Oryzias latipes: one gene and its partners. The protein of the gene in region 2 binds, or shares a complex with, the protein of the main gene of each other region. Links are inferred from orthologs where the notes say so. Each region holds a gene or a part of one and is shown on either strand. Other genes may lie near its edges.

Evidence for each region.
Region 1: ahi1 (region 2) and tmem107 share a complex: the UniProt entries of both Homo sapiens proteins name them as parts of the tectonic-like complex. The link is inferred for Oryzias latipes from reciprocal best matches to the Homo sapiens genes AHI1 and TMEM107.
Region 3: ahi1 (region 2) and tmem231 share a complex: the UniProt entries of both Homo sapiens proteins name them as parts of the tectonic-like complex. The link is inferred for Oryzias latipes from reciprocal best matches to the Homo sapiens genes AHI1 and TMEM231.

The regions. Positions count from the first base shown.
Region 1 is NC_019874.2:18,549,854-18,553,608, reverse strand, and holds tmem107 (transmembrane protein 107), read right to left. Parts: upstream 2,504-3,755; 5' UTR 2,197-2,503; coding exon 2,110-2,196; intron 1,780-2,109; coding exon 1,712-1,779; intron 1,631-1,711; coding exon 1,530-1,630; intron 1,289-1,529; coding exon of another isoform or gene 1,192-1,288; intron 1,116-1,191; coding exon 1,019-1,115; intron 856-1,018; coding exon 786-855; 3' UTR 434-785; downstream 1-433. Other genes in the region: tripartite motif-containing protein 46, read left to right, coding at 2,995-3,054. UniProt on the Homo sapiens protein: Plays a role in cilia formation and embryonic patterning. Requires for normal Sonic hedgehog (Shh) signaling in the neural tube and acts in combination with GLI2 and GLI3 to pattern ventral and intermediate neuronal cell types.
Region 2 is NC_019880.2:267,470-270,535, reverse strand, and holds the end of ahi1 (jouberin), read right to left. Parts: intron 1,329-3,066; exon of another isoform or gene 1,107-1,328; coding exon 1,018-1,106; exon of another isoform or gene 926-1,017; intron 919-925; coding exon 750-918; 3' UTR 562-749; downstream 1-561. Other genes in the region: MFS-type transporter SLC18B1, read left to right, coding at 10-103, 227-273, 342-381. UniProt on the Homo sapiens protein: Involved in vesicle trafficking and required for ciliogenesis, formation of primary non-motile cilium, and recruitment of RAB8A to the basal body of primary cilium.
Region 3 is NC_019864.2:27,557,527-27,561,281, reverse strand, and holds the start of tmem231 (transmembrane protein 231), read right to left. Parts: upstream 2,803-3,755; 5' UTR 2,524-2,802; coding exon 2,385-2,523; intron 693-2,384; coding exon 526-692; intron 1-525. Other genes in the region: gamma-aminobutyric acid receptor-associated protein-like 2, read left to right, coding at 3,419-3,452. UniProt on the Homo sapiens protein: Transmembrane component of the tectonic-like complex, a complex localized at the transition zone of primary cilia and acting as a barrier that prevents diffusion of transmembrane proteins between the cilia and plasma membranes.

The DNA of each region.
Region 1 (3,755 bases), on a different chromosome or scaffold from region 2:
GGGAGGGATCATTACGTCAAAAAACCTTTCTTTTTTAGCCTATATTACAAAATTGACAAAGTCTTTTGGATAAGAGGTGAAACGTTTTCTAACTTTAAAAACTAAGAGGACAGCCCCTAAACTTACTACTATGATGGAATCAACCTGGATGAAAGAGAGTCTTCATAGACATAATTCTTCTATATTACAACATGTCTCACTACATTAATAATTTAGGAAAGGATTTTTCCTCCCTAAATCAATTTTAAATACTGTTTCTTTTTTTTGATAGCTGCACAAAAATGAAGTTACTGTTTCATGTTTTGTAACCTTGCGGTTCTGGATACTCTTGTCGCCCGACTTTAATTTATCTTCTGGCTCAGTTTGGTTAATATTTCTCTGACAATTAAGTCACCAAATGAGGATAAAGATAGATACAATGAGAGAAATAAGACTTATTTAAAAAAGTATAAATGTATTTTGGATTTAGCGTTGAAAAGCTTTACATGAGAAACAAATACACTACTGACAACAAAAAACTTGGTTTACATTTTAAACTTTTGCTAACTCTCCAACTTATTCAAAACAAACAACATAGTATAATTATTTTTTGTAATTACATAGTTCAAAATATATTTACAAAGATTGAAAAAAAAAACATTCTTTCTGGATCTATTGATGCCTGCTGAAGAAATTCTAACAATGTTGGCCCCTTTTTAAGGTGATCTAATAACTGAATTTCTGCAGCTACTGTCTTGTAGCAACAAATGGAAGCGTTCATCCATTCAATCTGAATCAACTCCTCTTCATAACGGCTTCTTCTTCAGTCCAAAAACCGCAATAAACAGAAGAATCTCCACAAAAGCTGGCAAGACACTGAAAGATGAGAAATAGAAAAAGAAATTAATAGAAATCCAGAAAGATAAAAGAACAATCCTTAAATGCATTCAAATTCCTTCAAAATAAGAGTGACTGTTACAGTATGCTGTCTTTCTAAAAGCCAACTATTCATTGAAAACAAGCATGCAGGCGAACCAACCTGCAGGTGGCAAAAATCACCCAGTAAGTCCAGCATTCCCATTGTTCAAACACAAAGAAAGACAAAGATACGGATGCGGAGCAGTGGACAGCTAATGCTGAAAGGAGCAGCTGTCAGGGAAAACTTTGGGGAAAAAAGGATAAAACGGATTTGCTAGGCGTCAAAAGACTAACCTGCAAATAGCAAAGATCCACCAGTAGATGTCACACTCCCACTGCTCAAACAGAAAAAAGAGCAAAGCCACAGAGGCACTGGCATGGACTCCTGTTGCTATAGCAGACAAGTTCTTAGTTACGGAATTGTAACTAATGACTAATAAGCATTGTTTAATCCATTCATTTATTCTTGTAAATCATGTTTTCTGCTATAAACCAGATGCTCATTTAGAAGCTAGAGCTGCTGGAGAAAAGACAATATCTGAAAATCTTTATTTTCCTCACAATTGTGAATCAATAGTTCAGTATCAATGACCATGACAAATATGAATCATCACTGTCAGTATAAAGGATACACAGAAGACCCTGGCTGGAACTGAACATGGAGACTCCTGAAAAGAAGCCTGCTAGCTCGATAGCAAACAGACCAAGAGTGGCTGACAAGGCTACAACCAACCTGAACAATAACCAAAGGGATGCGGGTTAGAATGTGAGCATTCAAGATTTTTTCATATATTTTCAATCATTTGTTACTTACTTTCTGTCTTCTGTGTCATACTGCTCCTGAGTAAACTCCAAAGGCAAACATGCCTTCACATTATTCTCCTAGAAAACAGAAACAAATACATAAAATAGCCGATTATGGTAACATTTCTAGATAAAAAATTGTTTATAAAAAAAAGGAGAAATAAACTTTTTGCAGCAAACAAAAATCTATATTTCTGCAGTTTAGGAAAAATATTTTGTGGAGTAGAATTTATTTCTATTTCACGATTTTTTTAAAAACTTTTGTTCTTTATTTTAAAATCACAAACTACACGTTATTGATATTTACAAAAAACAATAATAATATTAATAATAATAATAAAAAATATTTCTATGGCAGCTTGAGTCGTCCTTCAAGCTTTAACAACAACACGGACTGTCCTTACTTACCCTGGACCAAAAGATTGTGATGACGATGACAAGGTGAGCTATGATGGTGAGAAACCGCGCAGGAATTAGACTGCTAATAGAAGACATGTTGTTTCTGGTTCACAGAAGTGTCAGAAATGCTAGAAAATTCTAAATTTTAAAGCCAAACGGTCACGTTGGAGTTCACAGATCTCACACAACAGTCGTCGCTCCTGGTTCGCGGTATATCAACGCAACCGCGGTTCAATAAATAATCCAAAAATGATAATCAAGCATTTTTAAAGCCAATGAACTTATAAAATTAAAATTTTACTCTTTAATAGTCTTTTTTCTAAACAAAATTATACATAGAAATTTAACACACCCCGGTGTCGCATTGGGTTGCTACAACAGCCAGTGGCTGGGTGCATCCAATATTGCGACCCGTAAAAACATCCACCTTCCAAACGTTCCGGACACAAAAGGGAAGTGGATGCGACCCATCGCCTTTGTTGTTAAGCAGCACACAACACTAGCATCTAACGACAACACACACACAAAAATAAAACATGACAAAGTTAACGTGTGATTGTAGGATGAACATAGCCTCGCGTATCTAAAGAACGTAGAAAAGCCGATTTTTTTTTGTTTTTATTTTCTAAAAGAATGTTTTTTAAACGCTCCCCGATAAAGCTAACATTTTGGGGCAAAACGCCCCCACCCCCCTCCACCAGTTTCAGCAACCATTCCATTCGCATTTGGATAGACGACAGAGATTGAGCAGCACACCTCAAGCACAGCTATCTGTGCACGTCAGGGCCTAGTGTTTGCTACAAAACAGCCGGGGATTATTTTTCACACCCACTTAATAATCGTTTTAAACGAAACATTTTTTCTTTGGAAGCGTGCACATCAGAACAACAGAGCATGGCAGAAGAGGACTTCCAAACCTTTACCTCTGTCATGGACGCGCTGGTTCGTATCAGTGTAAGTGTGCGACGCCGGTTTATTCTAATATAGCCATTTCAAACGTGCTACATCTAAGAGAGGAAAAACAATAATGTAGTCTTACATATAACTTGCTTTATTGATAGTATGTTGATCTGGACAATCATGGCTATGAAATAAGAATGCGGAGCATTTTTCTACCGTTTACAAACATGTTTTGTCATCGCTTTAATAACCCGGAATAGGCTGAAAGCCACAGTCAGGTGGTGAATGGCAATAGAAAATATACAGTCGCAACGACCACATAATTCATTTTTAATAGATATAAGAACCTAAGAATGTTGCCAAATAGCATAAAATCAGGGCCAGAGGAAGATGTGCGTTGTCATAGAAACCGGATGCCGCGCCTTGTGGCTGCAGTAATGGAAAGGGGCCACCACAACCTAAAAAAAAAAGAAGCAACAATCAATGGCAAACAGAATGTTTCTGCATTGTTTGAATTGTTTTTTTTTATTAAAAATAATGTCTCAGCCAATTTACTCTTAGAAATAGGAAGCAGTGAAGCAATCACAGGAGGACTGCTAAGCATCATGGAGGTTACGTTCTTCTTTCCTTCTTGTCCTGTGCAATAAACGGCACACAACCAGAGTTCATCTAGATATTTCCTTCATCACTGCCATCATTTCCTTTCTTTAAATCAAGTCGCAGCTCTGTTGTCTTCTTGAACTTTCCTCTTCCCT
Region 2 (3,066 bases):
CTCTTACAGAATGTTTTACGGCCCCATTGTGGGCGGCCTTATCACCCAACATCTGACCTTTGAGTGGGCCGCCACCATCCAGGGGGGCGTGGGCCTTCTGGCTGTGAGTACTCCTGACTCTGCGGGGGTGGGTCCTCATCTTTGACCCACTTTGAAGGAGTCATGAATGTGATTAGCTCTGATCAATCATTAACCCTTTGTGCAGTGAAGCTGTCTCTGTCCACAGGCCCTCCTCCTGGGGATGTACTCCCTCTGGGAGCGCCGGCGGGGGAGGTAACGTCAGATCCATCATCAGGAATCTTCCTCATCAACCTGAAGTCTGAGAGTTTCTGTCTTTGCAGCGTGCAGCAAACAGCAGAAAGCACTCCTTTGCTGGACTGAGGAAACATCTAGGGGCGGGGCCAGCCGCTCTGCTCACGGAGAGAAGATCTGAACGCCATTCCTGCCAGAACGGGCCTTTGTCCGGAGCTTTTCCTGCTTAACAGCTTAGGTCTGGTGAGCGGGATTATTCCCCCAAAAACCTCCAGAGAGCGGACAGGAATCCTGTTCACACGGAGCCGCTTGTTTCACGGGTTTTTACTGTAAATAGTACAAAATAAAACTTTCCTGAACACAATGTTCTTGTTCCTCACACAAACACCTGCAGCCTCAAACACCAAAGATCTTTGGGTAATTTCTGACGGAGAACGCAGCAATAATGCTGTGGAGTATTAGTGACATCAGAACGGCTCTCTGGGTTTGTCCACAGTTTACGTGTCGGCCTCAAAGGCCCTGTTGGACCTCCCCGCTGGTCTCGGTGGCAGAGGTCTGCCTCTTATGGTTCTGGTCGACCCAGAAGTATCTGCGTCAGAAACTGTAGTCTGAGATGAAGACACAGGAACTCCAGGCTTTTTCACCTTCTTCTTTCTTCTGGTTCTGCTTTCAGGAAAGAAATGGATCCTTCAGGAACTCAGCCAGACATGTTTGTGTTGGGGTAACTGGATCTGTGTGGTTCTGGAGGATATAGGAGCTTCTTACCTGGCGTCAGTCAGTTCTGGTTCAGTGTCTGACAGAGTGGGTTCGGACAGAAACCTGAGCTCTCCGGACGAGCTGACAGCAGCAGAGACCTGAAAACCAGGAGGGGGTCAGAGAGGAACAGTTCAGACAAAGTCCGTCTTTAGATCATGACATTCCTGAATGATCCGGATCGGCCGTCTTCCTGTTAAATATAAGCCGGATTTCAGGAAGATGGTCTTTGTTCAGCATGAAGTCAGTCAATACTTTAGTTTGCATTAACATGAGCAGAGAAGGCAGAGTTTGGTTCATGTCTAATAAAAAAAGAAACTGACCATCTTCTGGTCTGTTTTCAAAGGCTTCCCAGAACGGAGCGAGCAGGGAGCTTGTGGCCCCGCCCATTTCACTTGCTGCTCAACAATTTGAATATAGAAATACTCAGATATGCATTTTAATCTTCTTTTATGCAAGTTCTCCATTGTGAGAAAAGGCCACCAGTACATGTTAAATCACCGATGCCATCGGAGTGGGTCTTTGAATCAGAAAACTACGGTCTCGCCAACAGATTACAGAATATGTTCAATATATATATTAATATATGTTAAACCGGTTCATGGCTGGATGCAGAGCCGATGGTCTGTGGTTGATCTTTAACGGTCAGATCTATCATTTGTTACTTCTGTAATCACCACTTTAACTGCCTGATGGGAAGTTCTCAAAGGGTCCGGACCAGTCCAGAACCACCCAGACATCATATAAAATATGATGATATGATAAATATATCATATATCATATATAAAAATGTTGCACTTCCCGCTCGGCCAGCAGGGGGGCGTGATCCTGCTGGATCATTTGATTATTAATGGAAGCGTCTTAACATTCCAGGAACCAAAACCAAATGTACTCCTGTTGAGGGGAGTTTGTAATGTGTTTGTAAAGTGTGAATGAACCCACTCACTGTCATAAGCACACCCTGGACCTTGTTCTAACCCATGGGATAGAGATCAGCCAGCTGAGTGTCCTTCCTCTTAACCCCATCATTTCTGATCACTTTCTGATTACCTTCCAGTTTACACTGGAACATCCTTCTGTCCCAGTGAATAAGAAACAGCTTAGAAGAACCTTAACTGACCGTTCTGTGTCTGAGTTTAAACACACAGTTCAGCCAGTACTTAGTGATATTCTGAGAAAATACTCTGAGACCAGCTCCCATAGTATCAGTCCTAGTATAAATGACCACTTTGTTAATGATGCCTTACAAGCCCTCAGGAGTACACTCCATGTTGTTGCCCCCTTGAAACCTAAGTTTGTTAGACAAAACCGAGTAGCACCGTGGTTTAACGCTGAAACTCGTTCTCTTAAACAAGAAACCCGTAAGTTGGAAAGAGAATGGCGCCGCTCCGGTTCAGAGCAGTCTCTGAATACCTGGAAACATAGCCTATTAAATTATAAAAAAGCTCTGCGTAGAGCTAGAAGCCAGTACTATTCAACCTTAATATCAGAGAATGGAAACAATCCAAGATTTCTTTTTAGCACTATAGCTAAATTAACTCGCAGTCAGAGCTCAGTAGAACCACATGTTCCTGTTTCTCTCAGCTCTGATGATTTTCTTACATTTTTCGATAGTAAAATCTCAAATATTAGACATAAGTTAAATCAAGTTATTCCTACTATCAGCCCAGAACAGGCTGAAGCGGTAGAAATGGAGGCATCCATAGAAACCTCTGTAACATTGGACTGCTTCACTGCTGTGGATCAAGCGGAAATAACATCAATTATTACGTCCTCCAAATCCTCAACGTGTCTGTTAGACCCAATTCCCACTAGACTTTTTAAAGAAACTTTTCCCCTAATTAATGATCCCATATTAACAATGATAAATACCTCTCTGGAAACGGGTTACGTGCCACAGTCTTTTAAATATGCAGTTGTTAAACCTCTACTGAAAAAGCCCAGTTTGGATCCTAGCATCTTGGCCAACTATAGACCGATATCAAACCTGCCCTTTATTTCTAAAATCCTAGAAAGAGTTGTAGTTAAGCAGCTTTACTGCCACCTACAGGACAACAGCCA
Region 3 (3,755 bases), on a different chromosome or scaffold from region 2:
AGCAACAACTTTCTGGGTTCATTTGGTTGAAACGCTTGCCTGTATAGCAAAAATGTGATGTGATTTAAGAACAAACCTTATATTTCAAAAGGGCCAAAGATCCCAGCGGGCCAGTAAGTATTCTAAGTGGACTTGAGTTTAAAAAAAAAACTCGTTTCTCACAGTGTTAACACCTTATTGGTCATATTTTCTTCAAAAACTGTGTGTGGATCTACAGAAGTACTTTCTCTTTGTCTGTACTCTGATCATTTTTAGGTAAATGGGTTTGTGTGTAAACGCACAGCAACATACTTTTCTGGTAATAGATATTTGTCTTAAAGAAATATTTTAGACACATTAAGGTTTTGGTTTAAAGTATAGAAACAAAAAGCATGGACCAGCTTTTCATCAGGGCTAATCAATGAAAGATTGCCATGGCAACAGGAGCAATGCTTTGAAATGCAGCTTACACAATGACATAGGAATGTGGTTCTTAAGACTTGAAAAAGTGTCACACATATCAGTGATACACAAATGTGTTCTCACAGAGACGGCAGGGATCCGCAGGTTGGGCCCCAGCATGTTGTTGAGGTGTGGGAAGGTACTCCAGGCCACATAGTCCCCTTGAGTGCCGGTGGCTGCAACCATCAGAGTCTGGTACTGAAACCTCACAACCGGCTGTTCTTCATACGTGCTTCGCTTTAACCAGAAACCTGAAATTGAAAAAACAAAACTATAAGGTTTTAGGAACTTTTTGACGTTGAGATTTCTTCTAATTCTATGTTACCATCAAACCAAAAACCAAACATAAAATAGCATAAGATTTCTATTAGAATCCTTCAGCCAAACTTCCCACAATCTCCTATAGAATTTGCTTCATTTTTTTTTTTTGGAATGGAATTTGCTTCTTGACAAGGTTTGTCATGCAGAAAACATGTCCATCTGATGTACCCAGAATTCAACAACTTTTCTGACTTTTCCATGGCATTTTTTACATTTGAACCCATTTTTAAAAATTACAGAAGACGTTTTAAAAGCATAATTCATCATTTACCAAATATGTTCGAATAATTCAGTTCAAAATAGCAGCATTTTTGTCACATTTGTTCCACAGCATTAATAAGGGCATTTTTGAATGGTAATATGGGTTACTGTTGTATTACAAGCAAAGGCACTAATGTGCAATGAAAGCCAGCATGAAAATAACACAACGTAAATTCTGTTCCTGTAATGGATTTGAAACATTCAAATCAAATAAAACTTTATTTATAGAGCAGTTTTTCCAACTTGAGTTACTTAAAGTGTTTTACATAAAAACATAATCCAATTTTAAAAAACCAAAAGCAAGACAAAAAATATGTATACAATGCATAAAATGCCCCCCGCCGCACACACACATGCACGCACACATGCACGCACACTATAGTAGTGCATCAAATGATTCACTAAAATGATGCAAAGTAGAAAGTAGAAATCCGGCTTTGTGGGGAAATTATAAACCGTCCTCACAAGTGAGCCCCACCCAAGTTCACAGAATACACTACAGGACTCCCCAGATGCAAGAACCAGACCCAGAAGATCCCACTGCAGCGATCCCCATTCACTGAAAAGGCTCGGCCACCTATTTGGAAGAAAATTGTAAACATGTCAAAAAAAAAAAAGTTTGGTAAAATTTAATAGGTGTGGGATTATAAATTCACTTCTTTCCCACCCAATTAATCAAACTCTATTTAAAAAACATAATATTTTATGGATTCAATGTATTGCACACGTGTGTACTGTATGAATAGGTGTAGATATACCTATTTATGATACATTGTAATGTCAAGTGTATAAAAACATTTTCTGTCATTTTATTTTTCTCAAACCAGTTTAGGAACTAATATTTTAAAATGATACTATATATACATACACACATATATATATGTATATATTTTGTTTTATTTTAGAGCTGAAAGCTGCATGAAATCCATCAATCAAATCAAAACACATCCAACAGATTTAAGGCTAATCTTTCAACAGACACAAATGGATTTAGTCATTTTGAAAACAACTCATATCTAGACTTAAAGCAAAAGTTGTAAAAACTTGGGTTATTTAATATAAAAGCTTATTCATATGCATTCAAAGAGAATAGTTGTTGTCTAAATCAAATAAATCTGAGTAAAAATGGAATGAAATATTGCTGAAATGTTATTAATTTGTTATTTTTACTGGACTAATAAAACTTTATTTAAAAGGCCCTGGCTTTACTCATAGGCTTTGTAACGTGTAAAGTAATATAGATAATAAAAATCCTTTTTTTATATTCTAGCATAAACAAAGACTTTAACAAAAACATAATATATTCTTTTGTTCAAAATGAAATAAATGGACACTTTAAAGCCTCGATATATATACTGTACCTTGACTCCTATAAGCAACAAGCAGAGGTGGGATGTAGGTTAGGCACAAAACAACAACCAGGAACAGCGTAGCCTTTGTGCAAACACTGGTTTTGTACCGAATTACAGCCGGATGAGAGTACACTTCGTAGAAAGCCATACGTTCGGTGTAAAGACAGCTAGCTGTAAGGCTACAGCTGGAGATGCTAACCTAGTAGCGGACTAAATGATTACCGGCGTAAAAATGTCGATACTACCTAAACTGGTCGTTAAGAAACTCCAAAAAATCTTCCTCTGGATTCTAAACGCCAGTAAATTCATATTTTTCTGATAACTTTTCGCGTTGAAATGCTATTTTGCTAGCCCCTGCAACATGTAAGGAAACGAGCCCCCCGCCATATTTCTGCAGCGTCCCTCGGTTTCCATGGCTACCATGGTTCAGGATGCATTCATGAACTGTGGGGAATGCTGAAACTCTTCTGTGGTCCTGAAATTAAGTAAAAGCACAAAAGTAGTTATTTCATTTCATGCCTGGAAAATTCCCATATATTATTATCTTTTTACGTTGTTATGGGAACTATTAATTTTAAATAAAAGCTCAAATAAAAGCATTAAAATTTTTTATACAATTGTGTTTCTAATAATAAATGCCCATGACCGTTCTAAGGCATTTCAATGTATCATTTTTGTTTCATTGTTTATTCAGTCTGACTGTATTAATTTTGTATTTCTTTGGTGTTGTTTTCATTAAACTAGAAGGATATTAATGTAGAAACTAGATATTAATGCGTGTCTGTCAACAGCCCCAACTACAAGGATTTTTTTGGACCGAGCACTGCTGGGCGCACTTGAACGCACCAGGAGCACCAACAGCCAGACGGTGACGTCACCTCTCCGCGAGACGGACAGCTGAGCAACAGAAGCTCTTTGTTGACGTTTTGTTTTGGTCGCTTTGGGCAGGATTTCTGCAAGTTTGAACCCCCAACAGGGTTAGCTGATCGTGAAGCCCGCCTTTCGCCCCTGCCGTCACGCATCAGTGCGGGAATCCAGCAAAGATGAAATGGATGTTTAAAGAGGACCATTCCCTCGGTAAAAAGGGTTTGGGTTGTTGTTATGAAACCAGAGAGAGATGTCCTCTTTTCATGTCGCGTGTTTTTCCTTTTTGCTCCGCGGACTGTGTGTCCTTCGATGTGGCTCCACCACCCATCACAGACACACTAACGCGGGGTTTTCGCAGGAGCCTGCCGGAAATCGATCCTGCTTAGCTTGGCATGATCATGCTAACACGCATTTGCTGCAGGTTGTTTAGGATCACCTCAAGAGAAACGCCATTTAAAGCATTGCATCATCATCTAGTATTGCTTTAATTTCAATATTTTGCATGCATTACTT